4 linked regions of the Struthio camelus genome follow. The protein of the gene in region 4 interacts with the protein of the main gene of each other region in a pairwise test. Links are inferred from orthologs where the notes say so. Each region holds a gene or a part of one and is shown on either strand. Other genes may lie near its edges. The genes, in order: HYI, ATXN3, CCDC198 and TEX11.

Region 1 (7,554 bases), on a different chromosome or scaffold from region 4:
TGCCCGCGCCCCCGGGCCCGTGGCCACGGCACGGGGAGGCTGCAGCAAAGCCTGGGACCAGCCGGTCCGTCCCCGCTTGTTGCCCGACCTTGACATATTTATTTGGCTGCAAAGTGTGTCCCGCGGTCAAAAAGGGACTGGGCTGGCTGACACCCGGCCTGGGAGGCGAATGGCTAGAAATAGAAACGCAGCATGTAAGAAATGGAAAAGGAGGGAAATTCATAACTGTTGTAAAGGAGAAGTTACAACTGGTAAGGCATAAATCAGAAGGAAGTTGATAAAGGAAACCTCGTGCCAGGGAGGGGTAGGCAGAATGAGGAGGAACGTCAAAGGCATAATAAGGCCAAAAGAAATCCTGGCACCGCTATAAATCCTTTCCTCGCTGGAATTGTTGGAGTGCTAATGATCATGCAAAAAAAAGCCAGACACGTTTAACAAATATTTCTGCTCTGTGTTTGGAAAGAAGCGGGACGACATGTTTGAATCATACAAGAGCGATGAAGCAGTCTATTAATTACTGACGGGAACGTTAAACAACATCTGCCAGCTCAGCGGGCCTAGACAACGCGTGCACCGGCGTCCGCAAAAAGCTGGAGGAGAGTTCGGCCGCCTCATTAATTTGCCGTAAAATCTTAGAACATCAAGAAAATCCCAGAGCCGCTAGGAAACGCGAGCGGGCCGAGACGACCTGCGTCACCGTCGCGGAGGTCGCCAGACCGAAAGCAGCCAAATAACAGGGAGCCAGCGCCGGCAGAGGCGACGGTGGTATCGGTCTTTGCCGCCTCGCCTCAGCTTCGCCAGGATTTATAGTGTGTTCAGGCTCGGTTCAATACTCACTGATGAAGAATAGTCATAAAGCTGGCGAAGGTTGTGCATTTGTTTCCCATAATATGATATATAGATTTTACCGAAGTGTTTTTTTTGGAAGCTGTAACAAAGCATGGCCTGGAAGCAGAAATGTGCTAATTAAAGCACCCCGTGAACATCTTAATGGAGACTTTCCGGGGAGGACGACGAGTTTCCCCACATTTCCCACGTGAGGCCCAGTGCCAGCTCCTGAGGAGAGGGGACTGGAGGGCAAGGGGGAGGAGGAGGAGGAAGAGGAGGAGGAGGAAGGGCTGGCAGCCCCACAGGTGGCCCTGGTGCCGGCACCGGGGTGCGCTACCACGCAGCCACAACGCACCCTCTTCTCAGCCATTTGCAGCTTGGTTTGGCTAGTGGGAATCCCTGCTTCCAAGCAAATACGTTTTTTTTCTCCTCGAATCCTGCCTAGGACAAAGCCAGCCGTGGCCAGTGGAGGGGTCCCGTGGCGCCTGGGCCACGGCCAAGCCGGGATGAAACACACGCCTCCCCGGTGGCCGCGAGCGAAGGCAAACCTACGGCCTCAAAAACATGCAGGTGCCACGAATAAGGGTGGAGCACTAAATAAGGAGAGGGGGGAATTTGCCCAAAGCCGGGCAGCCACCCCTCAGGAGAAGCCGGAGCGCCGCCGGCACGGGCCGACATGCTGGGCTGGGTGCCACGGGGCATCACGGCAGCTCGGGACCTGCTGGAGACACCGCAGCAGGGCACGTGCTGCTGCGTGGGGCCAAAAAGCGTTGAAATTCTGCCACGGGCACAGAAAAAGGAACCACAGAAATGAGTCGAGGAATTGGAAAATATGCTTTAGAGGGAGATTTTTAACAGCTTTATATAGTTTGTTGCAGAGGAGGCAGAGCAGCATTACAGGATAAAAATACAAGCCAAAAATGAAATGAAGCCCCCAACCCCACTAAATTAAAGGGTTTTTTGTTCTGGGGTGAGAGGCCGAACCAGCGTCCGGAGCAACCCCCCGACACGTCTCTAGCAGGTGCCAGGCTGCTGGGTGAGTGTGGGATTTTTCATCTTGTGGCACTTCCAGATCCGGCCTGGATGGCTTTGGGGAAGACCGTCTTCGGTCATCGCAGGGCAGGCGTCTCGGTGTGGTGGCAGGCTGACAAAAATCTATGGCTGGCTTTGCACAGCAGGTCATGTCAGACAGCGTAACAGCTTTTGGGGGCTGAACTCGGCGAAACCCCGTGCGCGGACACACACGCAGGCGCACAGGGACCTTGCTCACGCAGCCCTCAGGCAGCACGAGCAGCAGGCAATCAGCACCTGCAGGCCTGGAGTAATTCATGCAGATATGTCCTTTATCCTGTAATACACGATTCACCCGCACCATCAGTACCAACCGACCCCAGAACCAGGAGTTTGGTTCTCAAAATCACGAGACTGAACAGTCACAACTCCCGCAGCTGCCTTTGCAAGATGCTGGGTCACACTCAGAATATTGTTTCCAGCCTTTTTCTACATATGAAGAAGCTAGAATTTGCTCACCTATAAAAGCTGAAATTCCAAGTCCTAGAAAACAAGGTTTGCACAGGTTGCAAAATATTGGGGTGTTTTAGTGTGAAGAAGGGGAGACCGGGGGGGCTGTGAGACCAAAGACTGCTGCAGGGAAGGGAAAGCAGCGGCTGCCCCGGCCATCGGAAGTGGAGACAAGTTGGAAATCCCAGGGTCCCAGCCCCGATGGCCCAGTGCAGCTGTGGGGTGGAGGGGAGCAGGAGGGACCAGGGGTGCCAGGAGATGTCACCCCCCGGTCTGCCTGTTACCGCCAGGAGGTGGGGACCTCTGTCCCTGTCCCGGTGATGGTGCCCTGCTGCTACCTCAGTTGCCCAGCCACCTCGGAGCCAAGGCAGAGGTAGTTAAAAATACAAAAATGTCAATTTAAATGAAAACATGCTTCATAAAGAGAGAGAGATAAGAGGCTCCCAGCAGCCCGGTGAGCGGGGGGATTTATGGGGTAATGAAGCAGCCCAGCGAGCCACACGGTGCAGGATTGATGCCCACCGCCAGCAGCGGGCCGTGCTCAGCCGCTGGCCCTGGCTGCCTCCGCACCCCAGTGCGGCCAGCAGTGGGCTGGGACCCCCCACAGCGCCTGCTGGGGGCACAGGCGCAGGGAGCTACCACGGCCACCCGCCGCCCTCTCCATCGCTGAGGCCAGAGTCGGGTCCATGCCAAAATGTCAGCTCTGTAATAAAACGCGCAAGAGCTACATTTTCTTTGGGCCAGTAAAATTCACGGTGAGTGGCAAAAATCCATCGCTGGCACCCCAGGGCTGGCAGAAGCTGCAGCATGGGAGCCGGCCCAGGGCAGACAGGGGCTGGTGCTTTGCACCCCAACACCCGAGCCGGGCAAGCCCTGGCGTTAGGATAGGATGCCCAAGGATGGCAAATCCCTGGGGTTACCAAATACGCCCAGAAGGCAGCTGCTTCAGGAGCTGAAGCCAGGCAGCGGCTGGGGGAGGCGCAGGGGTGTCCCAGCTGCTTGCCCCGTCCTGTTTTGACCTCGACACCTCTTACGGCTACCATTGGAAACGGGCTCCAGGGTGGCCAGCTCCATGCCTGGGCCTGCATGGCTGCTGGCGTGTGATGGTCCACACGGTGATGGGCGAGGGGTGGATGCAAAATGGTCAGATGAAAGCCTTGAGTAGGCTGGCAACTTTGTCCAATTTTGTTTTTTGAAGAGGCCACTTTGGTCCAGTTCATACCGCCTCCCTCACCCTGCTCCTGCCAAGACTTCCACTAGAGCCAAGACATGTTAGCGGAACGTGCAACGAGCAGGGTGGAGGAGGGTGGCTCAGGGCACACGCAGCCCCCATGCTGTGCCCGGCTCCTCCACGCACAGGCCGGCCCCTTCCCGAGGGGAAGACGATGTGACCTGTCTCCAGCAAGTGCAACATCTCCCCAAGCCACTGTGCTGCCCAGGCGAGTTTGCCGGCGTTGAGTAAATCCGCTGTGCCCTGCCAAGGTAAAATGATAAAACACTGGGCTGCAATGCAGGAACTGCAGTTATAACAAGAGAAAAATCAATGAAATATATTATCAAGGATATAAAGATGCCATTAACTGCTTCAGCACTTCACGCCATCCCCGACGAAGCGCGGTCCCACCGCCGGACGTGCCTGGCCTCGAGGTGCAGCCCGCGCTGGAGGGGGCCCATGCCTGCGGCGCGGCCCAGCTGCCCACCGCTGGGACAGCTCGGGTGGTTGCTGAGAAGTCGAGTCAAGCTTCCTCTAATTGATTAATCAATAGCCTTAATTGAGTAGACTCTGCTTTCCCCTTTGCTCGCGCCGCCCTGACCCCCCCGGCGGCTGGGGCCCGGCGGGGCACGTGAGTGAGAGCCCGACCGGCCGGCAGGCCCCGCGGAGGCCGCGCTCGGCCTCCTGCGCCCCGGGGAGCCTCCGCTCGGAGCCCAGCGCTTGACGGTGAAACCCGCGGAGCGCGGGACGAAGGCGAGCGCGCGTCCCCACAGCGAGGCACCGCTGCGCACCAGCTCCCCAGGAAACCAATTAACGGGGGCGGCCGGCACCTGGCACGAACGCCTTTCCCAGGGAATACGCCAGCCCGGCCGATGAAGGCGGCAACCCCCGCGGCGGCGCCGCCGGCCCCTGCCGCCGCGCGGTGGCGCCGCGGCCCGGGGAGAGGGAGCGGGGCCTTCCCTCACGGCCCCGCCCCCGGCCCCGGCCCCGCCATGGCGCTGCGCTTCTCGGCCAACGTGTCGTGGCTGTTCCCGGAGCGCGCGGCGCTGCCGGCGCGGCTGGAGGCGGCGGCGCGCGCCGGGTTCCGCGCGGCCGAGGCGGCCTGGCCCGCCGGCTGCGAGGCGGCGGCGCTGCGCGCGGCGGCGGCGCGGGCGGGGCTGCGGCTCGTGCTCCTCAACACCCCGCCCGGTACCGCCGCGGGGGGGGGGGGGCGCGCCGGGGGCCGTTGGGGGCTGACCCCGCCCTGGGGGGGGACGGGAGGCGCGGCCGTTGGGACCGTTGGGGGCTGACCCCGCCCGGGGGGGAGGGCAGGCGCGGCCGTTGGGACCGTTGGGGGCTGACCCCGCCCGGGGGGGAGGGCAGGCGCGGCCGTTGGGGGCAGACCTCGACCTGGCGGGGGGTGGCGCGGCCGTTGGGACCGTTGGGGGCTGACCTCGGTCTGGCGGGGGGTGGCGCGGCCGTTGGGACCGTTGGGGGCTGACCCCGGCCTGGGGGGCGGGAGGCGCGGCCGTTGGGGGCAGACCCCGCCCAGAGAGGCAGCCGGAGCCGTTGGGGGCCGTGGTGTCCCCGGCGCAGCGGGGGATGGCGTGTGGGGGCTGTGGAGCGGCTGTCCCTGCACTGAGGCGGGGTGTCCCACTAACCCCCCCCCCCGCCCCCTGCAGGCGACCCGGACAAGGGCGAGATGGGGCTGGGGGCCGTGCCGGGGCGCCAGCCCGCCTTCCGCGAGGGCCTGGCCATGGCCGTGCAGTACGCCAAGGCCGTGGACTGCCCCAGGTAGGTGCACGGGGTGGCGGGGGAAGCAACGCGCCGTCCCCTCCTCGTCCCCTCCTGCCTGTGCCCGGGCCAACACGGCCTGGTCAAGGCGGCGCTGGCCCTGGGTGCCTGCAGGCAGCACTGGTTGCACTCTACCCCCTAGAGACAGTCACCCCCAACAGGGACTGTCCCCTTAGGCATCGGTGCTACACTTGGCCTTCACGCAGTCCCCGTGCTGGCACTGTATCCCCCCTCCATCAGCCACTCTCCTACCAGCGTGGCAGTTATTTTACGAACCCGCCCCCTTGCAGCAGAACGCTTCCAGCACTTCAGCCCACAAAGCTGCCCTTTTTTTGGAACCATCTCAAGCCCTGGTTTCCTGGCCAGCTTTGTCCTGCAGCTTACACAGCCATGCTTTTACCCCGCATACTTTCGGACAGCAGTTGAGGCTCTGTTGAGTTTTACTGTGCTGTGTCAAACAGGCCAACCTCCTTCTGTAAGGCAAACCCTCCCCCTGCTGCTGGTAGCTCTCTTTGCTCTTCTCATACCCTAAAGCAATTAATCTGGGGGGGGGGGGGGGGAGCAGGCCCCTGGTGGGCCTCAGCTCATTCAGGATGACTGCATCAAAGTACTTTTCCGTGTCAATTGCTCCTTCAGCTGCCAGGCTCAGTTGTTCCTCCACAAAGGACTTGCCCTTTGTACTGTTGCACCTCACAGCCCCCTGCATCATGGAGACCTTCCTGTGCCTACGTGCCCTTCTCTGCTGTGCCAGCAGTGCCTGCCTTGCTGGGAGCAGGAGGCAGTTCCATTTACGCAATCCTGCATGCAGTCCTAAAACAGTTAATGTTTCCACTCAGAGCAGTCCTCAAGCTGACCCTTCATAAGGGTCCATGTACTCATCTTACTCTGTAATTCCTCCTGGAGGGTCTTGTCCTCACCTCTGCACGGTAGTCCCCATCGTAATTCTTCCCCCCACCCCCCACTTTATGCTAGCAATTTCCACTGTGACACCACAGCAGTAGCTTTACTGAAGTCCCCACTGACTGAAGTGTAGTAGATACCTTGCAAGAGATGCAATTAGTCTGGCGCAATCCACTTCAGAAAAAGTGTTCCATTTTTATTCCATTTACTTCTTTGCACCATTCTTTTCCCCCAAAATATGATCTAAGGCCCTGCCTACAGCAGAGGTCAGACTGAAAGCTGCAGTTGCCCAGGTCATTTCACTCTCTCTGTTAACAGGGAGATGATAGTCTGTTTTGTTTTCACAGTACCCCTCCACCAAATCACTTTAAGATCCCTGTTCTTGCCCTGTAGTTGAGCTTTGTGTGCAGCCTGTCACAGCCCAGCAGCTGGCCACGTTTTCTCCTCCCTGTTCTAAACCTTTGGCCATAGCAAACAGTGAGACAAGGCATCCAGTCTGCCCCAAGCAGACAGCATGCCTGCCGTCCAGCATGGTGGCTTCAGGGTAGCTCCGGTAGTGAAACCCTACGAGAACTCTGATCTGAACTCTGAAATCTCTGGGGTTGGCCTTGGGATGAGGGAGGAAGAGGCAACTGACAAAAGAGGGAAGAACTAAGGCCTATGATTTGTCACTTAATAGGTTCAAAGATGTCCTCCTGAATACTGAAGTGGGATTGTACAGGCTTGTATCCTTGCAGCTCGCCAGAGCCTGTTGTGCCTCCTGCACGGAAGGAGGCACAACTTTTGACACATTCTGTCTGCTTCCCCTCCCTCACTGTATTTTCTACCTGCAGAGGAAGGTGCATTAGTCCTCGACCACTCAGTTTGGAGACTAGAGCTACTGCCTACAGCTGATCTCTGTTTGCAGGATCCACCTGATGGCCGGGCGGGTTCCTGTGGGTGCAGACCGGGCAGCAGTGGCAGGAGAGATGGAAACCACGTTCATTGAGAATCTCCGATATGCTGCTGACATCCTGGCCCAGGTAACTAGGGAACAGGTCCTGCTGCACGGGTGCCAACTCTTAGGGGACTGAGGGTGTCGAGTCCCCCACCAGCTTGGCACAGGGAGGGAATGCTTCCGGCTGCAGCACAAGCCAGCAGCTGTCTGCTGCAGAGGTGACAAGATGCTCCATGGAGTGACATCACTGTGTTACAGGAAGACATGATTGGACTGATAGAGCCTATTAACAGCCGCATCACTGACCCTCGCTACTTTCTGAACACCCCTCACCAAGGTAAGGCAGACATTTCTCCCCGCAATCTCCTTCAAGGGAGGAGAG
Region 2 (7,193 bases), on a different chromosome or scaffold from region 4:
TTGTTATGTATCCAGCGCCCTGGAGATAACACAAATGTAATATATCACTTTTAGACTATCAATCTAAATTAAAAATGAATAAATTAGAAGTGACAGTTATTATTTTGTAGGATAAGTAAAAAAAAAACCTGAATGTACGTCACGCTCTTTCATTCTCATAATTAGTGCAGATAAAAATGCTACCTTGCTTAAAAAAGGAAAACTTTAGTAGCCAATAACCGTTATTTTTAAAGAAATAACTAAACTGCAAGTGCAAAATAAGATTCACATCAGTTTTGAAATCTAGGTTTCATCTTTGCTATTTTAATTAATCCTTCCTATTTTTGTTTACCTTAAAGTACGTGCACTTTGAAGAATAAAAACAGAAACCGCAACCAAACAAAAAACAAAACAAAACCCCCAAAATCCCAAGTACCAAGGGCATGCCTTGTAGGAATATTCTTCAAACTTCTATGACAGCCTCATTCAAGCTATATGCACAGATCTGCCATGGTTCATCCCTTAAAGCAGGAATCTCAAAAATTTCCTTTACCCCAGATTACAAAATCTTCCCAGGGCTTTATCACTCAACTAAGCAATGAGTTAAGGCTGGACTGGGTGTACAGCTGGGGTCTAACAGAATTCAGAAACCTTCTCCACCATCCCGCAGCTTGTGTTCTCCCACTGCAAGAAAGACCGCATCCTCCAAGACCACATCCCTGCTGTTGGTCATATGATAAAACTAAAGCAGAGCAACCTGCTTAAGAATTGCAAGTTTCTCCACCAAAACTACTTGAAACCGATTTAGGAACAAAGAGAGATTATAGTCTTTGAAAACAAGTTGTATGACAGTGTTTAAATCCAGTTTCACTGAAAGGGCATTTCTATATTTGTACAGAAAAAGTTTTATCTTAAGACAACATACATTAATTTTTCATATGCATGATTTGTACGTATTAAGGGTAAATGCAGAAGACAAAACTGATCTTACAGTTTGTAAGAAAAGTTAAGTTTGTTTTTTTGTGTGTGGAGAACACAATGCTTTTTCCATAATCTTAAATCTCCTTGTTGAGATCTATCTCGATATAAAACTGTTGCCCTGCTTTTGGTGTTTTCAACCACTTGTATCATGTAAGAGAAGGGGTCGAATTTTAAGAAAGTGGCTCCTTAAGCCTGGAGGAGGCCTACTTTGGGCATTTGCCATTCTCCCGTGGAAAAAAAAAAGTCACATTGCTTAGGTCTTTGTTTTGTTAAAGGTATCCCTTTAAAAATGTCATTTTTTTCATGCCTCAGTTTTTTAATTAAAACTTCTGAAGTGTACAAGTGATGCACACAGGCATTCAACGCTCAATATTTTGTAGTGCACTCAGGAAAAAAAAATACCACTTAAGAAAAAAAAAAAGAAAAAAGACATAGTAGTTCAGTCAAATTTTCCCTAGAATAGTAATTATAACAAAATAAGATGAATTTGAGTGCCAAGTATTTTTAAAACAGACAGCCAGGAACATTAATAACTGGATAACTAACTTGCTAAAGCATAGTTGCATACCATTCACAAGCAAGACGTCCCAAGAACATTAAGATAAACAAACAAAACCACTCCTCAATAAGAACTTGTAGCAACTACAAATGACAATTAACTTGTAACTCTGACAGTATTATGCTCTATCATTTTAACTCTACCAGAGTTTTATTATTCAAAATCAACAAAGCAATTTCCTCAAAAACACTTTATGTTACTATTTCCTCAGGTGACAGGCTAGGCTACATAAGAGAAAGGTACACTTGATTTGAACTCATTATTTTCAAATCTGGACTGGAACTCAAGGTCACTGTAACACAGGCTGTAATGACTGAAATCAATACTTATCCCCTGAGCAGCAGCAGTTTAACACCCCAAGCATTTGCAAAGTTCTGCTATCCAAATCCAGTGAAAACACACTCCTCAGGTTATACAAATTCCAGAACATTAAAGTTTGCTTTATACAGTTATACAGCTAGCTTGTTTGAGAACAGTGTATAAGAACTAGCATTAATCTTAACACAATAAAGATGTTATGACATTGGCAAAGCATATGAGGAAGACAATAGTACTCCAACAGCATTGTAGCACACACAGTTGGCATTTGGGAACCTAGATAAACCACAAGAGTTAATGGAAGCATTTCTCCTCCAAATCAGGAAACACTATTTAGCATACAGAAGCACTGCACATGAATTAGCAGTGCATTAGCATGGATTAAGGAAATCCTTAACAGCACTCTCTTTCCCTGCTCTTCACACAACTCAAATCAAGGCAGGCTAAGTGAAGAGGAAAGAGAACATAACAGGAAGAGTCAGAAACAGTCCTGCCTGCCCAGGCTACACACCCTCACACTCACTTCTCAGCCGCAGAAGCTCTCTCTCAAGAAACAGGAACAGCATTAGCCTGCACTTCCCCGTAGCGGAGGTCTACTTTCAAAGGCCCGAGAAGGGAAGTCACTGGGTGAGAGGAAACGTCGAGGCTCGGCCCTGGCTTTCTTTGATCTCCAGTATAACGTTTCCTTTTCCCACCGAGCCGGAAGACTTCGCAGAGCCAAGCCGGGCCGCAGGGTCCGGCAGCGCGGTGCGAGGGGGCCCAGCTCTCCGCCGAGGCAGAGGGAGTGGAGCCGCCGCCTCAGCCCTGCCGCCAGAGGGGGCCCGGCCGCAGCGCGCCCCGAGGGCCGCCCCGGAGCCGGGGCCGGGAGCGGAGACCCGCCCGCCACCCCGTACAGTTCCGCGGAGGGAGCACCCCCCGGGCCCGGCGACACCGCGACTGCCCCCCACCCCGGCCCCGGGTGGGTAAAGCTCCGCGCGGAGCGGAACCCTCCCCTCCCACAGCCCCTCACTCACCCGTTCGTGGAAGATAGACTCCATGTTTACTGTCAACGGCCAGCACCCTCCGCCTCACGTGACCCGCCCCAGCCAATCAAACCTCGCTTTACCGGGCAACCCGCCGCAGCCCGGCCGCGCGGAGCCCCCACCCCCACGGTAGCCGCCGGCAGCGGGGCGGTGCGAGCGCTGCCTGCACGAGGGCGCCCCCTGCCGGTCGGGAGGCCCTGCTGCGCCCTCGGCGGCACGAAGCCGGGATCCGCCCCCCGACCTCCCTGCGCCCTCGAAAGCTTTTCCCGTATTTCGCTTGGTTTAGAAATTTAGAAATCACACAGAGAAGTCGGCTTCACTGCTGTCTCTTACCGCCTGTCAATCCTTTTCATTCTCCTGTTCTCTTGCACTATCACAAAGCTACAGTATTGCCACTGCTGACATTCCAAAGAAACATGTCTAAAGAGGAAATCTAAAGAGAAAACGGTTCAGATTTCAATTAAAAATATATAAATACGTTCTCTACCACATTTTGGATCTATATTAAATATTCCTTTAAACATTGTCTCTCTATGAACTACATGAATTTTACACCATACAAATTAATAACGACATACATGCTTTTTGCATAGTTTTTCTTTATTACATAAGTCTTCCTCCCTCTTTCAGAGTATGACTTCCGGGGATAAATGTTTCTGAACAGGACTTGTACTAGTCATGTAATTATCTTTCAAAAAGGAGGACTGAAAATTATAAACTAGCAGAGATGAATCGTAGGTGTTCCTTTCTGCAGCCTTATACGTTCACTCAAGAATAAAAACTGTAATCCTGTTCTTTTAACTTGCTATATATGTTGATTGAACAAGTGAAAATATTTCCCATTTCATCAGCAGCTTCTATTTCCATGTAGTTTCTTCACCAGGTTTCAATTCTCTGTGTGGAAAGGAAAAAGAAAGGCAGGGGAATAACATTAGGATCATTTCTGTAGGATAATTACTAAAAAATGTAAGTTTTAATTATTATAGAAAACCTTGATGTAAGCTTTCATTATTATAGAAACCTTGACTGAAATATATATTAATTATAATGAATAAATCTGACTTTCTTTCAAAGTGTTGTGTTGTCAGTTTAGAATCTTTCAATATGGGTAAATGTTCTCTTTTTCTTTCCAAAGCTGCTTGAGTCCGCTTCAATTAGTTCAAACGTGGGCACCGAACACCTAACCTCTAATAACATAACAAACTTTTTGCATAACAGGGCCTTATTTCTTTTGAATAGAAAAACATCATTACTTTACTGGGGAAAAACAAACAAACAAACAAAACCAGAGGAAGCTTTTGCAACATACTGAAAGGCCAGTGCAATTTAACCACTAACTGCAGTGAGAAAAGTGCTAATAACAGTGGCGTGAGCAGTGGGCGTGTTACTTTACTTTCTCACTCAGAATTATTAGCCCATGGGACACCAGAGTAAAAAAAAGTCACTTGCAAACCATATATACCAACATTTCTACTTTTCTTCCAGTCTGTGATAGACTAGAATTAGTAATTATGCAGCATGATTCTTTTTCTGCTGTTTGGTTAACCCTGCAGTCTTATACAGATTTAAGAGAACTGATCTAGATGAGGTAGCACATTTAGTTATCTCAATTCTCCCCGAGCAGTAAGCCAGCAAGCCCATACCATGGGTATATAGTCATATCCTCAGTAAAGACACAGCAGTTGCTAACATTAAACGTTAAACATTCAAAATACAGAAGCTGGGTTAATTTAAAAAAAGACGATAATTATGTAAATGATGCAAATTTATACAAGTATTTACATGCTATATATGTATACATGCTATGTATATATATGATGTCATACTTTTAAACTTAAGATATAATTTTACTATAATCCACTGAAAAGGTTAAAATTAAAGGAAAACCCAAGTACTATTTGCTTCTGCTGAAGTTTTAGACAGAGCCAAGATAAGGTTTGCACAGTTTCATGGCTAAGCACTTGGCAGCAGTTAGTATGATTAACAAGCTTTGGAAAGCTAAAGCCTTTTATACCAATGCAAAAATACCTTCTTTTTCCAAATTATTTGATATCAAATCAATATTTAGTTACTTAAAATGGAAAACTAATTGGAAGCTGAAAAAGATCACTTTCCATTTTCAATACACAAAAAAATGCAAGAGGCTGCATTTTCCCACCTGTAGAAAAATCAAGGACACGGAGAATACGGAAATTCATACCTACAGACTACTTCCCTAGCTTAATAAGTTACTTTACATTAAAATATGTTTTATAAATTTGTCCCCTCCCTCCCCCTGCAATTATCACATTTAACATTATTTTGTTAGGTAAAGTTTGTCAGAGCTCTAGTATTGTGCATTTAAGTGAACTTGGTACGGTATCCAAATGCAGCTAAATAGGAGGACTCAAAAACATTTCCAGAAGGACTTAAGGGAAGAGGGGGGGAGGAGAAGAGTGGTTTGGAGGTCCTCCCCTTTTCATACACTTTCTCCGGGCCCAGTATACAGAAAAATCCATCTTAAACAGTCTCTTCAGAAGTACAGTTTACAGAATGTTTCAAGTGGTGTTTTTACTTCAACCCTTTGAGATTCTTTTTTATTAGTAGTATTTCAGACAATGTTACTTTTATTTAAAAAGGAACAGTAACAATTTCTATGCAGCAAAGACTGTGTTAATATGCCATGTTAATTACACTGTAAATGGTGAAGTATAGTGGTTAAGTAAATGATTAAATTTTATTTGAAGATTTTTTTCCTAGCAACATGAGTTTCTTATTTATGCACATATTTAGGTTTCTATTTATTTTTCTAGTCATCCTTTTCATAAGTCTACTTAGACATAAATGAAAGTGTCTTAACGTTTACTAATTCTTGCATTTGTTTATCTTGCTTCCAAGAATAACATTTATTTAAAAAAATTTTAAGTCAATTATCTCAACTAATAGGTCAAATGGACAGAATCGCGCACACTTTCTTTCATGACTTATAGCACTAAGATGGGCCCTAAAGCACAGATTTTCAGTAGGCATTAGTCACTCAAAACTCTTAATGAAAGTTGACTGAAATTTTTAGGGCTTTCTTCCTCTTAATATTTTGACAGCATTACTGACTTTTTTTTGTACTTGAGACTCTCAAAAAGAACAGAGAAGCACATCTACTTTGCAAAATAACAGAACATATATATTTTAAAAAGGTATCATAAGCAAACCTTCTATACAGCAAGCTCTTGTTTCTGAAGGCTGACAATTTTTCATCGTTCATTCTGTCCAAATAGCATCCAATCACAAATCCTAGGGGAACAAGGATGTGAACCCAGTGATCACGCACAGCTTGCATGAAATTCACCATGACTGCTAGAAAGAGAAGTGTAACACAGAAGAGTTACTGATAGAGCTGCACACGACAACTGCGACATACCTAGCGCCTTTACTCTCACGTACTAGGATCCTACTATGGAATAATAAACACATGAGGGCCATTAAACACTCCATGCAAGGTGCATGCTGTTCTCAGGTCCAAACACAGGATTCTTACAAAAAAGCTCGGTGGTGCTGGGAAATAGGATCTTATCCTAAAGCTAGAGATGAGTAGACTCTTTTAAGGCATCATTGGCAAAATAGTGACAAAATAATCTACCCACAGCAGCAAAATAATTTACCCATTAAAACAAATCTAAAAGGACAGAAATTTGCTCTCCTGCAAAACATAACACATGTATTTACAGTACCAAATCCTGCAGATGGATGCCCTAATATCAGTAAAAAGTCACAAAGACAAGCCTCGCAGTCACTTGGCCATTGACAGAGAAGCAAGATAACATATCTGTTAACTCCGCAAAGCCTGTTCCAACCTCACCAGCCCAAACCTTCCGCATGAGTGTCCTGCGGGACGATCTGAGACAGCCCGGCAGCCGTACCGCCCCGAGGACGGCCACAGACGCCGCCGCTGCTGCGAAGGGCGCCGCGGGGCGGCGGGAGGCAGGCCGCTCCGCAGCCAGCCGCGACGCCGGCCGGGCCGCAGCTCGCGGCAGGGCCCCTGCCGCCTTCGAGGCTCCGCCGGCGCAGGGAAGCGCCCCGAGGCGCTGCAGGTGAGGGCTCCCGCCGGCACCACGCAACCCGCCCCGCTCCCTCCCGCCGCCAGCCCCAGCCGTTACCGCTTGCCGCTGCCGCCGGGCCCGGAGCAGCGGCCACACCAAGGGCAACGGGCGCAGCGCGCAGGCCGGCGCAGCCCACCGGCTGCTCGGGGAGCGGGGGAGGAGCCGCCTCCCCCCCCCGCGGCGGCCTGGCGGTGGTGTCGCCCGCCACCCCCGCACTGCCCTTCCTTCTTTTCTCCCCGCCCCTCTCAAGATGGCGGA
Region 3 (6,878 bases), on a different chromosome or scaffold from region 4:
TGAGGGGTGTGTCCATACCACACAGAGGAGAGGGCAGGTTGACCCCCTGCCTGCAGCCCCCGAGCTAGTTGCTGCCGAGACGCCAGGGGTCAGCGTGCTGCTGCTGTGGCTCAGGACCGTGCTGGTGACCTGATGGGCAGCAGCAGGGCAGGATGTATGAGTGGAAGGTTACTCCAGGGTCCCCTCTTCCTGAAGCTCAGGTGTGCTGTTATAGCTGGTTGCGGAGTTGGGAGGCAGAATCTGGGAACATCGACTCCATCCTGACCTGCATGCTGGTCTCTCTCCATCACTGGTGGAACGTTGTGCTGATACAACCTGCTGTACATAAAGAGTTACCATAAAGCATCTTCCCTTACAGTAGGAAGGGAAACCAGAGGCTAAACTGGCTCTGTAAGGCTTCCTCAAAGTCTATGTGAGGGCAGCGAGGCATAGAAGAGACATGGCATTTCCAGTACCGCTCTGTGGGGTCAAAGCCATGCTCTGAACTCTAGGAGTCGGTTGGTCTAGAAGACTGAAAGTGATGTGGCCAGTGTCATAGCCAGAGTCCAACATGTGGGGTATGGAGACATAGCGGGCTAATCTGATGGTGTAGTTCATCCTTTTGCAGTTTTTTTTGTTGATGACACCTTTGTTTCTTCTTCACAGCTGTGGATCTCTTGAAGCACAAGATGATCTTCAGTGTAGTGAGGCTGGGGGCCACTATCATCATTTGCATTGGGTTTCTGCTGATGCTTCTCCCTGAAGAATGGGATGAAATAACCTTGAGATTCATCAACAGCTTAAAGGAGAAGAAAAGTGAGGATCATGCTGACGACATCACGGACTCCAGTGTGCACACGAGAAGCAGAAGTAGAGCTAATGGGACAGTGTCTATACCACTAGCTTAGAGCTGGTGGACTTTAACTGCACACAGATGTATATTCTGTGAATATAGCTGAAATTTCCTCACTACTAGTATGCTTAAAAAAAATAACATTTACTCTGAACTGGGGATGAATTCTAAGATAAGAGAAATACATCTATAATAAATGTTTACATTTATACACTTATCAAGGAACAGGTGTAAATAACCACAATAAAATGTTTTGTAGTAAAAAGCATTTAAGCTTGTGTCTTACTGAACTGGCAGATTTAAAATAAGGATAATAAGGATCAAGTCTACATCACTGATCTCCTTTTGGTGGCAGAAGGGTCATCATCAAGGAGACCCATCTTGGACATTTCCAGCAAAATCTCAAAAGTGAACATTAACTTGTCTTCAAAGTAAAGGAATTATTATCAAAATAAATGCTTATTTAGGGACGTGGGACACCCAAAAGGGCAACAGTGTGGCCAGGCATTACTGTGACCCCTTGCTGCCAAGGGTGGCTGGAAGAGAGAAACTTCCTTCTGAATGCAGGAGAACAGTGTTTACATGAGCCTTTGCCAATTAGAAACCATTCACACAGTTAGAAGCAGTCTGACCAAGCAACTGCTCAAAACCCTGACGAACAGGGCTGAGCTATCTTGTAATGTTAAATTAAAAAACAAAAAAGAAGATAAGATGAATCATCCAAGCCCTGTCTTCCTGAAGCATAGGCTTTCTGCTTGCTCCAGGAAACCCAACTGGGCACGCAAGCCGATTTTGAACATAGCCTCAACTCTAATGCTTTTACTACACCATCAGCCAGCTTCAAACCTTGTCAAAGCCTTAGCTAACAAACTGACCCTGTTCATGACAGGCACGGTCTGCTGGAGCCTGCGACTGCCCGGCTGCAGGCTGTCCTAGCGCAGAGCTACGAAACAGCCGAGCCCACCCATAGCTTCACGCTCGCTGAACGCGCTCCCAGACCCACGCTGGTCTGTGCATCTCTGCAACAACTTTCCAGCAGCGGCTCTGCGTTTTGGGTGCCTCTGGTTAAAAACAAAATAACTTCATTTATCTTTTTCTCCTAGAAAAGCTGCTCGCCCAGCTTTCATGAGAGACCGAGTACCCTGCAGCACTAGCATCCTTGGGAGATGGCAGCTCCCATTTTCCAGTGCTTTTCCTTTAAGCCAAACAAATATTTGTCTTAACCTCTGCAGTGGGGAAAACAAAACAACAACGCTTTCAAAAGCCAAAACCAACCAACCCACCCAGTTCCTTCCTTAAGACTGTCACTGTGTAATTCAGGCTGGCCGTTCCCAGGTACGGCGGCCCCAGGATCACGCGCTCAGCGAGAGGACGCTTACTTGAGAGCACTCACCATGCAGAGACCTGTGCAAATGTTTTGTTTTAAAGAGCAGGAGAAACAACTCAAAAGTAATGCCGATGGCTGTACTGACCAGCCTGCTTTTTGCCGTTTTTACTTACCGGTTAGTATGGTTTTGTTCACAGTATTTTTGCCAGGGGAAGAAAAAAAGTTATTATTAATAATGAATGCTTCTTTTCTCTAATACTAGCTATATAATAACTATGTTACTTAAAAAAACAAAACAAAACACGCACACCACACACAGCCAGCAAAAAGCTGTGATTTATACTGGTCTCACCTCCGGGGCAGCAGACAGGGCCTGGCTAGCTGCTTGTAACACCCCTTCCCGTGGCATTGGGCCCCCCCCCCAAGCCCCACAGCTGGAGCAGCGCCGCAGCCGTGGCATTCCCACACCTGGTGGGGTGCTATTCCCACCGCACAGCGGAGGGGATTGCTCCTTGCCCTCGGCCCAGGCAAACCGCAAAAATACGCTCATGTTATGAGCGGCAGCAGCAGTGTTGGCCCCTCCATCGCAGAGCTGCAGAACTAGTGCAGGAAACCCCAGCCCAAAACGACCAGCCTCCTCGTGCTAAACCCCACGGATGAGGTCTGGGCATGCACACTTGCTCTTCTGAAACTCTCATCTAGCAGCCTGCTGCAGTGAAAAATAAGTCTAAAAGACATGATTTCCGCTAAGCGGGCAGTGCCGATGGGAGGCTGCTGCTGCAGGTGGGTGCAAGGCTCTACACTCGGTGCCACCAGCAGCGATGGCTTTGCCCCATGCACCGGCAGCGAAGGGGCTCAGGAGCCCCTGGCCCCGAGGCACAGCGCTGCTCTGCACTGGGCGTCAGGGCGCGCGGAAGGCAATGCTTTGGAGAACAGTAAATTTGCTGGAAAAAATGCAGTTTTTGCAAGATGAGCATCCCTGGGGAATTCTGGTTGAGTATGGTGGATGTTCTCGGACAATAAAATGGGAGAAAAGCTACAGGGCACCAGCAGCAGAGAGCCTCCTTCCTGCCACCCACCCTCCCCAAAACCCACATGCAACACTCAACAGCAGCGTTTAATCCTCTATTTTCCCTGAACTGTTCAATGCAAGATGCCTGTTTTTAGGGGGGAGACATTGAGCACAGAGAAATTTGGAAGGGAAGCAGGGTGCAGATTTTAGCAGCTCATTTGGAAAATTAAGATGAAGCTGCTCGGCTCCCTTGCATCATGCGTGAGCCGCTGCACAGGGAAGTCACGAGCGGCGTGGGGGCTCTGCAGCCACAAGCACCAACCTGCCACACTGCCCCAGGGACCGGTAACTCCTAAATTTGGGGATGAATGATTTTTCCCCCGCCTCGTCCTGGCCGGCGGCGTTTGGCAGCGACGTATTCGGCCAAGACCGGGCACCCGCTCACTTTGCGCTTCCAGCTTTGGGTGCGTTTCGCAGCCGGGTGAATAGGTGCTCTCACCACCTGCTAAAAAACCCTCCAAAACCAACATTGAAAAAATCCTCAATCCTAAATGGGTGCAAATAGATACCAAAAAAAAAAAAGGAAAAAAGCCCCCAGTGCTTGGCACCGACTTCCCAGGCCGCCCCGGCTCCGCGGCGGGAGCTGCCAGCTCCCCCGGAGGGCTGGGGCCGGTCAATGTTTAACCGGCCTCGGCCGACAGGGCCGAGCCGGGAAGGACGCGGGGAGCGGCGGCGGCTGTCAACCTTGGCCCCGCACCACCCCCGGGGTAGCGCGGGCGCCACGGACCAGCACCGTCGGCCAGGTCCGGATAGGGCCCGGAGCGAGGGGCTTTTCCTTTTCTTCGGAGGCCGCAACTCCGGAAAAAATGGGCCTGAGCTCCTCCAGGACGCGCCACAGGGTGACCAAGGTGGCCCCAGCACGAGCCGGGGGCGACCTGCCCGTCTCGCCCTACGTCTCGGCCCCGCGTTGGTTTTCCCACGCGCCGGAAGATGCGTCGGAGCAGGAGAAACCCGCGGTGCCGAGGCAGCTGCCGCCGCTCCGGGACGCCGGGTACGGGAGAGCCGCTGCAGGTAAGAGGGCCTGCAAATAATAATTGCAATTAATAAGTTAATGATTGCAAGGGCAGCGGCTGGTGGCTTGCCCTCGGCAGCACGCCGGTCCTTGCTCGGAGGGGACGCCTGCAGAAAGCTGCCGGGTGTCCCCCGAGCTGTGGGTTTGCTCAGGGCGACGGGGTGCGTGTAGGTGCCTTTCCCTGTTCACGTCTTTTTGTCATTTCCAGCAAATTTCAGCTTTGAAAAAAAAAAAAAAAATCCATTTCCCCCTCTTTCCCACAACTAGTTTTGGGAAACTCTCCCGGCCAGCAGAGCCCAGGTCACGCACTGCCCCCCGCGAACAGCCCCCTCCAGCAGCGCTACATCAGCGCGCAGCGGCCACAGGCTGCGTCCAGACGAGCGCTCGCACGGCGGCCCCTTAACTCCTGATTATGCACGCCCCCGTCACCCTTGGGCACCTCTACATCATTACCTTAATTATAATTAGATCCTGGGAAGACGCTCAGCAGGTAAAATTCAGCACTGCCATAAATAATACCTGTGTCTCACGCAGGGCTAATGTTGTAAGCCGGGAGGCCGAGGAACGCAAAGGCAACAACTGCCCGCGTTCCCCCCCCTCCCCGAGAGCCTTCCCCACGCAGCACCGGCCGTAGCCTTCGGCAGCGGTTTTTAAATTCACTCTGTACCCAGAGACGAGAAAGGAGGTATGAGACAGCTAGCAAAAAAGCTGGTGCATGACTATAACGAGCGAGATGAAGACTGGCCACCCCCGGCCACGTACAATAAATCGAGAGCGAAATCTCTGCACCTAACGCGGCTGCTCGCTTGAGAAAGGATAATGCAGATGGATCGGATTTGCAGGTTTAGCTCTCCTCCTCCCCTCTTGTCCCCTTCTAAAAGGGAATTTTGAAAAAAAAACCCCAATCATTTGTTAGCATTGCCAGATATTTCCTCTTCAGTACTGTCTATGGAAAGACACCGGGAGCCCAGGAAAGCAAACGCCTCCAGCGCGACAGCAGTCACGTCCCGGAGCGGAGGCCTGGGGTGAATACAGATCAGTGCCGGGTACACGGCCCGGTGCTTGGAGCGCTGCGTAACAGCGAGAGCAATTACATATTCCCATTCTGGACAGTGATAATCACTAGGCATTTATCAAACGCTTATAAAAACATATTTTTATAAAAAAATCTTTAAAAGAACTCAATAAATGTCATTTTCTATTACATACTTCATTTTCAGAAACAAGTACGCTCAAGGGCACTCGAGCGCTGCATTAGCTTGAGCTGCTGCCTAAATAACCGAAGCCACCCGGAGAAAAGGTCCGTCTTAGTTTAGGAGGATTCATTGGGGCTGGCGTTAAATTCCCCATTCGCCGGCAGAGAGAATCACCTATTAGGGCGCAAGGCTGAAAAAAGGGAATTGCCGAAACGCCGCCAGCTTGAGCCTCACGTTGTCGCCACGCTGCCTCCTTGCAAAGCGCCGTCTCCTCCTCGCCTCTGCAAGGAGGCAGCGTGGCGACAACTAAAGTTTTTCTCCCGAGACGTCACCCGCGCTGGAATTTCCCCTCTCGGGCGTCCCCCGCTCGGTGGTTAATCATTGCACGGGTGCTCAGCAGAGCAAAGCAAATCCTTTCTCAGGTGAACTGGGCCACGTCCGCGGCCTCCTCCAGCACTGCCAATCCTGGACGCCGGGGTGCTGCTTGGGTCACCCCGCCGCTCTCCAAGCTGCTGGAGTCACCCATCGTCACCCCTATGAGAGGACCTCTGATTTTTATAACTAGGAAGTTTGACCTCAGCTATAATGTAACGCCCTTCACCGTGTCTCCCTGCTCCGCTCCCCAGCCTCTGCCCCCAATGCCTGCTCCTCCCCCCCACCAAATCCTTTGCCATGCTGCACACCGGAGCTGCTTGGCTTAGGGCAGGCTGCTGCTGTGTGAGAGCAGCTCCACCTTGTTTAACAGCACGTATAAAACAGCAAGCAAATGCAACAGGGGAGGGAAGAATAGAAAACCTTATATATAAAACAATTCTCCATGCACATGCAAGTGTTTGTGCAAGAACAGCAGCAGCAACATGCCCCTGGAGAGCAGTAATGAAGAAGAGATCTGAGCTGGTCCGCATTGCATTCAGGCCTTAGTTAAAAGGCTGCTTTAATGACGGACAAGGCGATTGCCCTTTGGTAGCACGTCCCCACTGTGCATGCGTTTTGGACTGGTTTCCAAAGGCAGCTCCTAGTTGTGCTGTTCGCATGTCAGCACTTCCCTCACCAGTTCCTGAGCCTACTGGCTGGCTGTAGCCCACGTCTGCCAGGGTCAGTAGAAGCATTAGAAGACATTCCTATAGGGTCCCTCAAAAATAAATAAGGTCTCAGAAACTAAGCACCAAGAAAAGACTCAAAGTGCTGCCCGTTCCCTGCTTTAAAAGGCCAAGCGTGAGCTCAGCCCGTGACTGCAGCCAGGAACCAGCCAAACATGCAATTTTCTTGGCCAGCAGATGGTTATGGGCCACAGGAGAGACCAGGGAGGACAAAGGGATGCCAGAGGAGGGAAGGAGAAGGGTGCAGGTGGCCAGAAGAGCTGGGAAGCTGCAGGAGACGTGGAGGGTGGTTATTCTGCCATACAGGGTGTACGAGGGGCTGAAGAGGGAAGCAAGAGG
Region 4 (6,874 bases):
GTTCGAGGCAAAGCCATTAGCTGTGTGCTGGGCTAAAGCAAGCTAGCAAAAAGAATAATTTAAAGCTTTTCTGCATGTAGTCATTGATGAGAGCGTTTATTTAAAGTACCTTTCTTACTTGACATCAATTTAGTGACTTACAGTCTAAAATTTACACCAATATCATTTCCATAAAATTTCAGATTAAAAACAGCATTAGAAGGCAAATTACAGCTTCCTTTGGTCACATCACGCTTTTACGGATGCTCTGGCACAGGAACGGGGAGTGATAAGAATTCCTACACTGATTCTGTGCCACAAGATCATTATTACACCAGGATGATCCTTCCTGAACCGTTTCTATAGCCCATCTGTACAATTTTCTCTGTCTACATCTTATCTACAAAGATCCAAACAAATCCACAGCGTTATATATGTATCTGTCAGCAGAGTTTTTCCCTTCCACGTTACAGCACACAAAAACGTTTAGGGAGATACAGAACACATACATACATTTAGCTCTTTGCTCATCATTGATGACAGAACCCGTGTGTTTGGTCACAGCCCAATTCCACAGGTTTATTGCACTCTCTTCGACCTGAGAGGGAGAATTCCATTAGATTTAATCTTTGCCTCAATTTGGATCACGCTGAAATGTACTACTGGAAAAAGAATCATCTTTCATGTATGTCATGTTAATGACCTGTGCGCACGTCTGTGTAACTTCCTTTTACAGTAGGCTCACACATGTGAGATTACTGTGAAACTATTACCTGATCTGACTGTCTCCACAGAGAGATCTGGGACAGTAACCTGAAAACAGGCATGCTGAATAGGTCACATGGGCTTTCTTGAGCTAAAAGTAGCTTCTTTTCAATGGATCAGCCATTTCAGAAAACTTACAAGCATTTGGCAGGACTCACGTATTCTTTTCATAAGCGTCTTTCATAAGATACACTTAGTCTTTAGACTTTAGTCTTAGAAAAGACTATTTCACAGCTTCTAAACATTTGAGAGTATTTCTAAGATGAAGCAAGGTAAGAAAGAAAATGACTGTAAACCAAAGGCAGACATGACCTGAAACTAAAAAGAACTAATTAATCATAAGGCAGATAGCAGTACCCACACGCATGTCACGTCATCCATCAGTGACTTCAGCTCTAATTTGAAATTGCGCACAACGAATTCTGTAAGTGAAGTGGTGGACTTCAGACACATTCCCAGTCCTTTGTTTGGTTTCATTAAAATATGTTCCTAAACAAATTCCATTCATCTGTCATGTTGTTCCAGGGTCCTAATATATGTTTCTGTCAAATCCTTTTCCAAACTTATCAAAATATGACCTACCTTAGCCTATCCATCTGGAATGACGTTTTCTCACAAAAATACATGCAAAAATTGTGCAATAGCACATCACTGTCCAAGACACAGCTGATTCACTGGCAGCTTTCAGAATACAGTATGTACACTTTAAACAGATATTGAAAAATTAGAAGGGTTCAGAAAGGAGCTCTAAGAATTGTATCAGGTTTGCAAACATTTATAGTACTTCTTTTGCCTCCTAAAAAGGAAATTAAGTACTTTAGTTATTGTAAATACCTATACAGGGAAAATTCTGATACTAGCAAAGAACAAAGGCTACTGGCTAGGCATTGATGTTAAAAAGATGACAGAGTCGTACACGAAGGCAGTAAGCTGCTTGAACAACCCTAAGCCAGTATTTTCAACCACTTCGGATCATAAAATCCGAATCAAATGTCTTTCTGAAAATATGCTCTTGCTTAACTAAGAACTTTGGGCTTCATACAAGAATCAAATAGCAAAATTTTATGGCTCCTTTTACTGAAGAGAACAAACTACAAGATAACGATTTCTCCTTTCTTTAAAAATCATTTAGCCCAACAGGAAGAACTGAAGGCTACTGGTTTTATGCAAACGTATTTCTTTACAGAGAGCACGGAAAATATTCCCGGTTGTGACGCTTGCCAGCCCACCTTGCTCCTCGTCACAGATTTAGGACTTTCAGAACTATTGTCTGCCTTATGGGATAGTCACTATGAAATTTCCCCTCAGCATATAATTTTGGAGGAACAAGTTGGACAAAATCTCAGCTATTCTTGTTTTTGTTCCAGATTCATACACTTCTCATCAGAATTCTTTTGCACACAGTTTCTGTCAAAGCAGAACTTTCTCTTCAAGTAGAATTTTACTACTTTATTCATAAGCAGTCCAGCACAAGGCCTGACTAGAGGAGGAAAAAAAATCTAAAACCAAAAGCATTATGCAAGCGAATTGGATCACTGTTCAAATACACGAAAATAGAATAACCTCAGAGCTTATGTATTGGGTTTACCAGGCAAGTAAAGCTACATGCTTGTTTTCTCCCTTCCCCAGGCAGCTGCTAACAGTACTGGAAGCCACAAGCAGGGTGGGACAGACCTCTGTTTTGAGCCAGCGCGACGTCCTTAAGCACCCACGGATGCCTAAGGCGGGTTTGCACTCAAGTTTATAACGAGGCATGAACTGGAAGACCGAAACACCGGCGTGGACATCACGAACACGCCTCCCCACGCGGGACTGAACCCTTGGCCCCGGCCTCCTCGGCGGTGGCGCAACTGACTTCGGGGGGGGGGGGGAACTTCCCGCCCCGCCGCCCACGGGCGGGACGAGGCGCGCGGCGTCGCCTCAGCGCGGCCCGGCCGCTCCCTCAGGGCGACGGCGCGGCGCTACCTCGGCCGCGCCGCCCTCCTCGGCCGCGACGCTGCCCGCCGCCTGGAAGAGCTCCTCGGTGGCGGCGGCGATGCGCGACGGCGCCTCCTCGCTCAGCAGCTCGCGGACCAGCCCTGCAAGACAAGGCCGAGAGGCGGGTGTAGGGCAGCGGCCGGCAGCGGAGCCGGGTCCCTCCCGCGGCGGGCGGTACCTGCCACACCGCACGCCGCCGCCATCGCCATCGCCGCCGCCGCCGCGCATGCGCATTCCCACCACCACTACCGCGCCGCCGCCGCCGCCGCCGCCAGGAGCTCAGCGCCCCACCGATTGGCTGCCCGGCGCGGCCGCCCCGCCTCCCGACCCCGAGTGGCAAGCGCCGGCGCCAATGAGGCGGAGCGCGGTGGGCGGCCCGCCCGCTTGCTGTCCGGTGGGCTCCGCGCCGGTTCTGGAAGGATCCCGGCAGCAGGGCCCGGCCGGGCGCGGGCGAGATGTCGGGGCTGCTCCACACCACGCTGAGCGGGCTCAACAGCGACTCCTACTGCGAGATCAGCCAGTACCGCGACCAGCACTTCCGGGTGCGGCACCGGAGCGCGCGCGCGCGGCGGCGGCGGGGCCTGAGGCGCTGAAGAGGGGGGAGGGGCGGCGGGGCCTGAGGCGGCAGCGGGGAGCGTCGACGGAGGCAGCGGGGCCTGAGGCCGGGGGAGGCACCGGGATGGGGTTGGGGCCTGAGGGGCGACGGGGCCGTGGAGGGAGGCACCGGGTACCGGGGCAGGCCGGTGTGCGGGCGGGCGGGCGGGCGGGCGGGCACCGTGTCCCCGGGCCCGGCGGAGGTGCCCCCCGGAGCCCCGGGACTGTGGTGGTATAGCTCACCCCGCTGTGTGCTCGTCTCTGCCCTCAGGGTAGCAGGCAGCTGCAGGAGAAATCCCTCAAAATTTCCTCCACGCTGTACGTGGGCAACCTGTCCTTCTACACCACCGAGGAGCAGATCCAGGAGCTTTTCTCCAAGTGCGGGGACGTCAAGAGGATTGTCATGGGGCTGGACAAGATCAAGAAAACTCCCTGCGGCTTCTGCTTCGTAGAGTATCCTCCCTGCTTCCCTGCTACTGCCAGCTGGCTTGTGGGTGCCACCCCTAGTCCCTCTCTGGGAAGCAAGCGCGCAAAACTTGAAAGAGGGAGCAAAACTCAGGTTCTCCCTGTCGATCCTTCCATCCTTCTGGCTGTCAAGCACATTTCTTGTGTCCTCTCTGCTTTTTTTTCCCCTCTGCCCTCGTTCAGAGGCAGGTCTTACTGCAGGACCGTAAGTGAAAAGTACTGTCACTTCTGTATTTTTGGGAGGCAGCAGAGAGCACCTTTCATTCATTCATTTAGCAGATTTTAGGGCCCAAAAAGAAATCACCAGTCAGACCTGTTGTGTGGTGAAAATTAAGAGCACATGTTCATTTTCTCACCCTAACTTCACACCTGAATGAACTAGTAGAATAATCCATGGCACTACTCCCGAGCACAGGGTACACGCTTGTACAAGTTGTACTGTGAGCTGCCTTTGCAAAGCTCTCCTGGGAGGCCTGCTCATCTTATTCAAATTCAGTCAAGTTTCATATGCTATAAAAAGGCATATTACAGCGTTCTTGCCTGTAGCAAAGCTTTAACACATTTGTTTCATCTACTTCTGAAATAAGTGATCCAAAACTACTTCTTGTCTGTACAGGTACTCACATTAAAGTGTAGCATCTTAGGAAGGAATTGGGGCTGTTTTCAGCTTGCATTTATATGAAGGTAGCTTTTGATGCCATAAAAAAGAGCAGTGTTTTAGGCTGGAAGGCAGGATTCCTCTGTTTCTCAAATACAATAGTTCTCTCTTCCCCCCCCCTGCAGCCAACAAAATAGCACGTTTAGTTTTCCTTACAGTATGTTTCAGATACTACACAAGAGCAGATGCTGAACACGCAATGCGATTTATCAATGGCACCAGACTAGATGACCGCATCATTCGAACTGACTGGGATGCAGGATTTAAGGAAGGGCGACAGTATGGGAGAGGAAAGACTGGAGGACAGGTAAAGAGAACACTAGTTCAGACCCTGAACCTGTTTTCCTTAAAGTTGGGTGCTGCTTTGCCAGTTTTGTCTTATTCAAGATAAAGTGCAGATAATGAAGACCCAATAGTGAATTTTAGACACTCCCTGGTGGTTTTGATAACTGAGCTACCCTGGCGTTTACAGCTCTAAGTAGAGCTTAAGGCAGTTTCTGGCTGGGACTCCAATCTTTCTGGCTCTGCAAACAGAATTTGCCTTATTCCTGAGCTAGTACTCCTAAAATGATGCAGAATTTGAAATTTGGGGGGGGGGGGGGGCAGTGTAGTTGCTAGGCCAATCTCATAATCCAGCAGCATGCCCCAGTGAGAAGGTGAGATTCCTTTGCAGATTTCCTGGAGGGTGGCGGGGAGGAGGGGTAAATGTTTCTGTTGATTCAGAAAGCTAACTGCAAAGTTGAATTAGAATATTTTTGGATCTTCTTTGTTTTTTGTTTAAAAAGACCTTTAGCAATCTGTTGTATCCTTGTTTGTTGTTTTCACTACCACCAGTAATTTTTTGGTGGATTCTTTAAAGAGATTTTGAACAAGTCAAAGAACTTGTAACCCAAATTTCAGTTCCCCACCAGTGCAGCAAGGAAGGGATGATGATTCTGAAGTCTACTGGGAGATAGGCAGTACAGGGTACTAACGCGTGTTACTGCTGTGCCCCAGGTGCGAGATGAGTACCGGACAGACTACGATGTGGGAAGAGGCGGCTTTGGCAAGATCATTCAGATGCAGAAGGCAAACCATCAGCCTGCAATCTATTAAACGCCTCATGGGCTCTAGCTCATAGAGGGCTCTGTCCTTCCAGAGCTAGCCCTGTACTTGCATTTTGGATTGGGGTAGGGAGTGAAATCCAAGTTCCAGCAAAAGGGGACTCTCCTTAGACTGTGGATATACATGTGTTCATCCCCCCTTCCTTCTGGGCTAGAGAGGATGTTCTGTGCTGATACAGGACAACAAGGGAAAAAACGGACAGCTCTGCAGGATTCTGGGTAAGAAGAAGTGCAGCGTGTCACGCTGACCTTGTGCCAGGACATACTCTTCACGTTGCAGCTGAGCGGTTGGCTTCCTCCAGGCTGGCTGCAGCCATGGTCGCTCTCAAATGGAACTTCTGGGAAGTTTACCCACATCAAAGCCCTCCAGGTATCTGGGCACCTTGTAGAGATGCACCAGAGTTTCAGATCTCTAATTTACAATCTCAGTCTGCTTAAAAAACAGTATTGCTGTTTAGATGAGAGAAGTGAAACAAGGTCTTACTGTCCACTTGGAGGTGCTTGTCTGCACATCTAACCCTTGGCTTGGTCAGGCCTGCAGAGCCTTTCTTTTTGTGATGACCCCAGTGCTGCCTGGCTTTTCAGATCCTCACTGTTCGGCGTGATTTTGTTAAATTTCTTTTAATTTTTTAAATAAACAGTGAGTCCTGTACCTGCTGCAGTTTGTGCATCAAAACCATTAGCGGTATGACAGGAGCTGGGGAGCGTGCCCCATTAGCATTTTAAAGTCATGAACAGAAAGACTAAAAGGGAGCACAAATGAGTCTTGCTGTCTTTCTCTTGGCCTCTCTCTTGGTACTAGCTTTTCCTCCTAGCTTTCCTGTTGTGCTTTGCAATAGCTGCTGGCTGAAATCAGAAGGAAGTTGCTTATAAAAAGTGTACAGCTGCTCTCAATAAGGCAAGTTCTTATGTTTCACACCAGGAGATTCTAGGAAATCTTTCTCTCTCCTGTTACCGCAGTTAGTTCCAGAATCTGAAAAGCAATACAAAGGCCCAGTGTGCACTTCAGAGGTGAAGGAACCAGGAACTCCTTTCCCTGTGTTTTCAGCAAGCTTTCTTCCCCTTATGTGAGAGGTATAAAGACCAGAGCTGACACTCTTAACTTCTGCCTAGGGTCTGAACAAGGGACTATGGAGGAACCAAAAACCCTTTCCGATCCGCCCCCGAGCACTTCTCGGTTCAGCCAATTCCATTGCACAAGTTAAACTCTGACTGTAAATTGGTTTTGTATTATGCAAATAATAACAGCTGCTCCCAGGCCAATAACCTGTAGTCACAATTTCTCTCACGTTATCTTATTCAAGATAATGCTGTCTGTTCTGTTGCCTACTCA

What was found.
Region 1: the proteins of TEX11 (region 4) and HYI interact in binary tests that used the Homo sapiens proteins (3 or more experiments, as listed by UniProt). The two-hybrid records come from large-scale screens. The link is inferred for Struthio camelus from reciprocal best matches to the Homo sapiens genes TEX11 and HYI.
Region 2: the proteins of TEX11 (region 4) and ATXN3 interact in binary tests that used the Homo sapiens proteins (3 or more experiments, as listed by UniProt). The link is inferred for Struthio camelus from reciprocal best matches to the Homo sapiens genes TEX11 and ATXN3.
Region 3: the proteins of TEX11 (region 4) and CCDC198 interact in binary tests that used the Homo sapiens proteins (3 or more experiments, as listed by UniProt). The two-hybrid records come from large-scale screens. The link is inferred for Struthio camelus from reciprocal best matches to the Homo sapiens genes TEX11 and CCDC198.

What each region holds. Positions count from the first base shown.
Region 1 is NC_090949.1:25,507,474-25,515,027, reverse strand, and holds the start of HYI (putative hydroxypyruvate isomerase), read left to right. Parts: upstream 1-4,554; coding exon 4,555-4,750; intron 4,751-5,223; coding exon 5,224-5,335; intron 5,336-7,142; coding exon 7,143-7,257; intron 7,258-7,430; coding exon 7,431-7,509; intron 7,510-7,554. UniProt on the Homo sapiens protein: Catalyzes the reversible isomerization between hydroxypyruvate and 2-hydroxy-3-oxopropanoate (also termed tartronate semialdehyde).
Region 2 is NC_090946.1:65,727,003-65,734,195, forward strand, and holds the start of ATXN3 (ataxin-3), read right to left. Parts: upstream 3,007-7,193; 5' UTR 2,875-3,006; coding exon 2,851-2,874; intron 2,461-2,850; exon of another isoform or gene 2,361-2,460; intron 1-2,360. UniProt on the Homo sapiens protein: Deubiquitinating enzyme involved in protein homeostasis maintenance, transcription, cytoskeleton regulation, myogenesis and degradation of misfolded chaperone substrates.
Region 3 is NC_090946.1:78,494,926-78,501,803, forward strand, and holds the start of CCDC198 (factor associated with metabolism and energy), read left to right. Parts: upstream 1-3,863; 5' UTR 3,864-4,037; coding exon 4,038-4,242; intron 4,243-6,878. Other genes in the region: SLC35F4 (solute carrier family 35 member F4), read left to right, coding at 646-887. UniProt on the Homo sapiens protein: May be involved in tuning the metabolism, energy expenditure, and excretion processes.
Region 4 is NC_090952.1:25,538,738-25,545,611, forward strand, and holds the start of TEX11 (testis-expressed protein 11), read right to left. Parts: upstream 3,013-6,874; 5' UTR 2,956-3,012; coding exon of another isoform or gene 2,931-2,955; coding exon 2,900-2,930; coding exon of another isoform or gene 2,823-2,899; coding exon 2,710-2,822; intron 578-2,709; coding exon 493-577; intron 1-492. Other genes in the region: nuclear cap-binding protein subunit 2, read left to right, coding at 3,177-3,263, 3,587-3,768, 4,607-4,745, 5,435-5,533. UniProt on the Homo sapiens protein: Regulator of crossing-over during meiosis. Involved in initiation and/or maintenance of chromosome synapsis and formation of crossovers.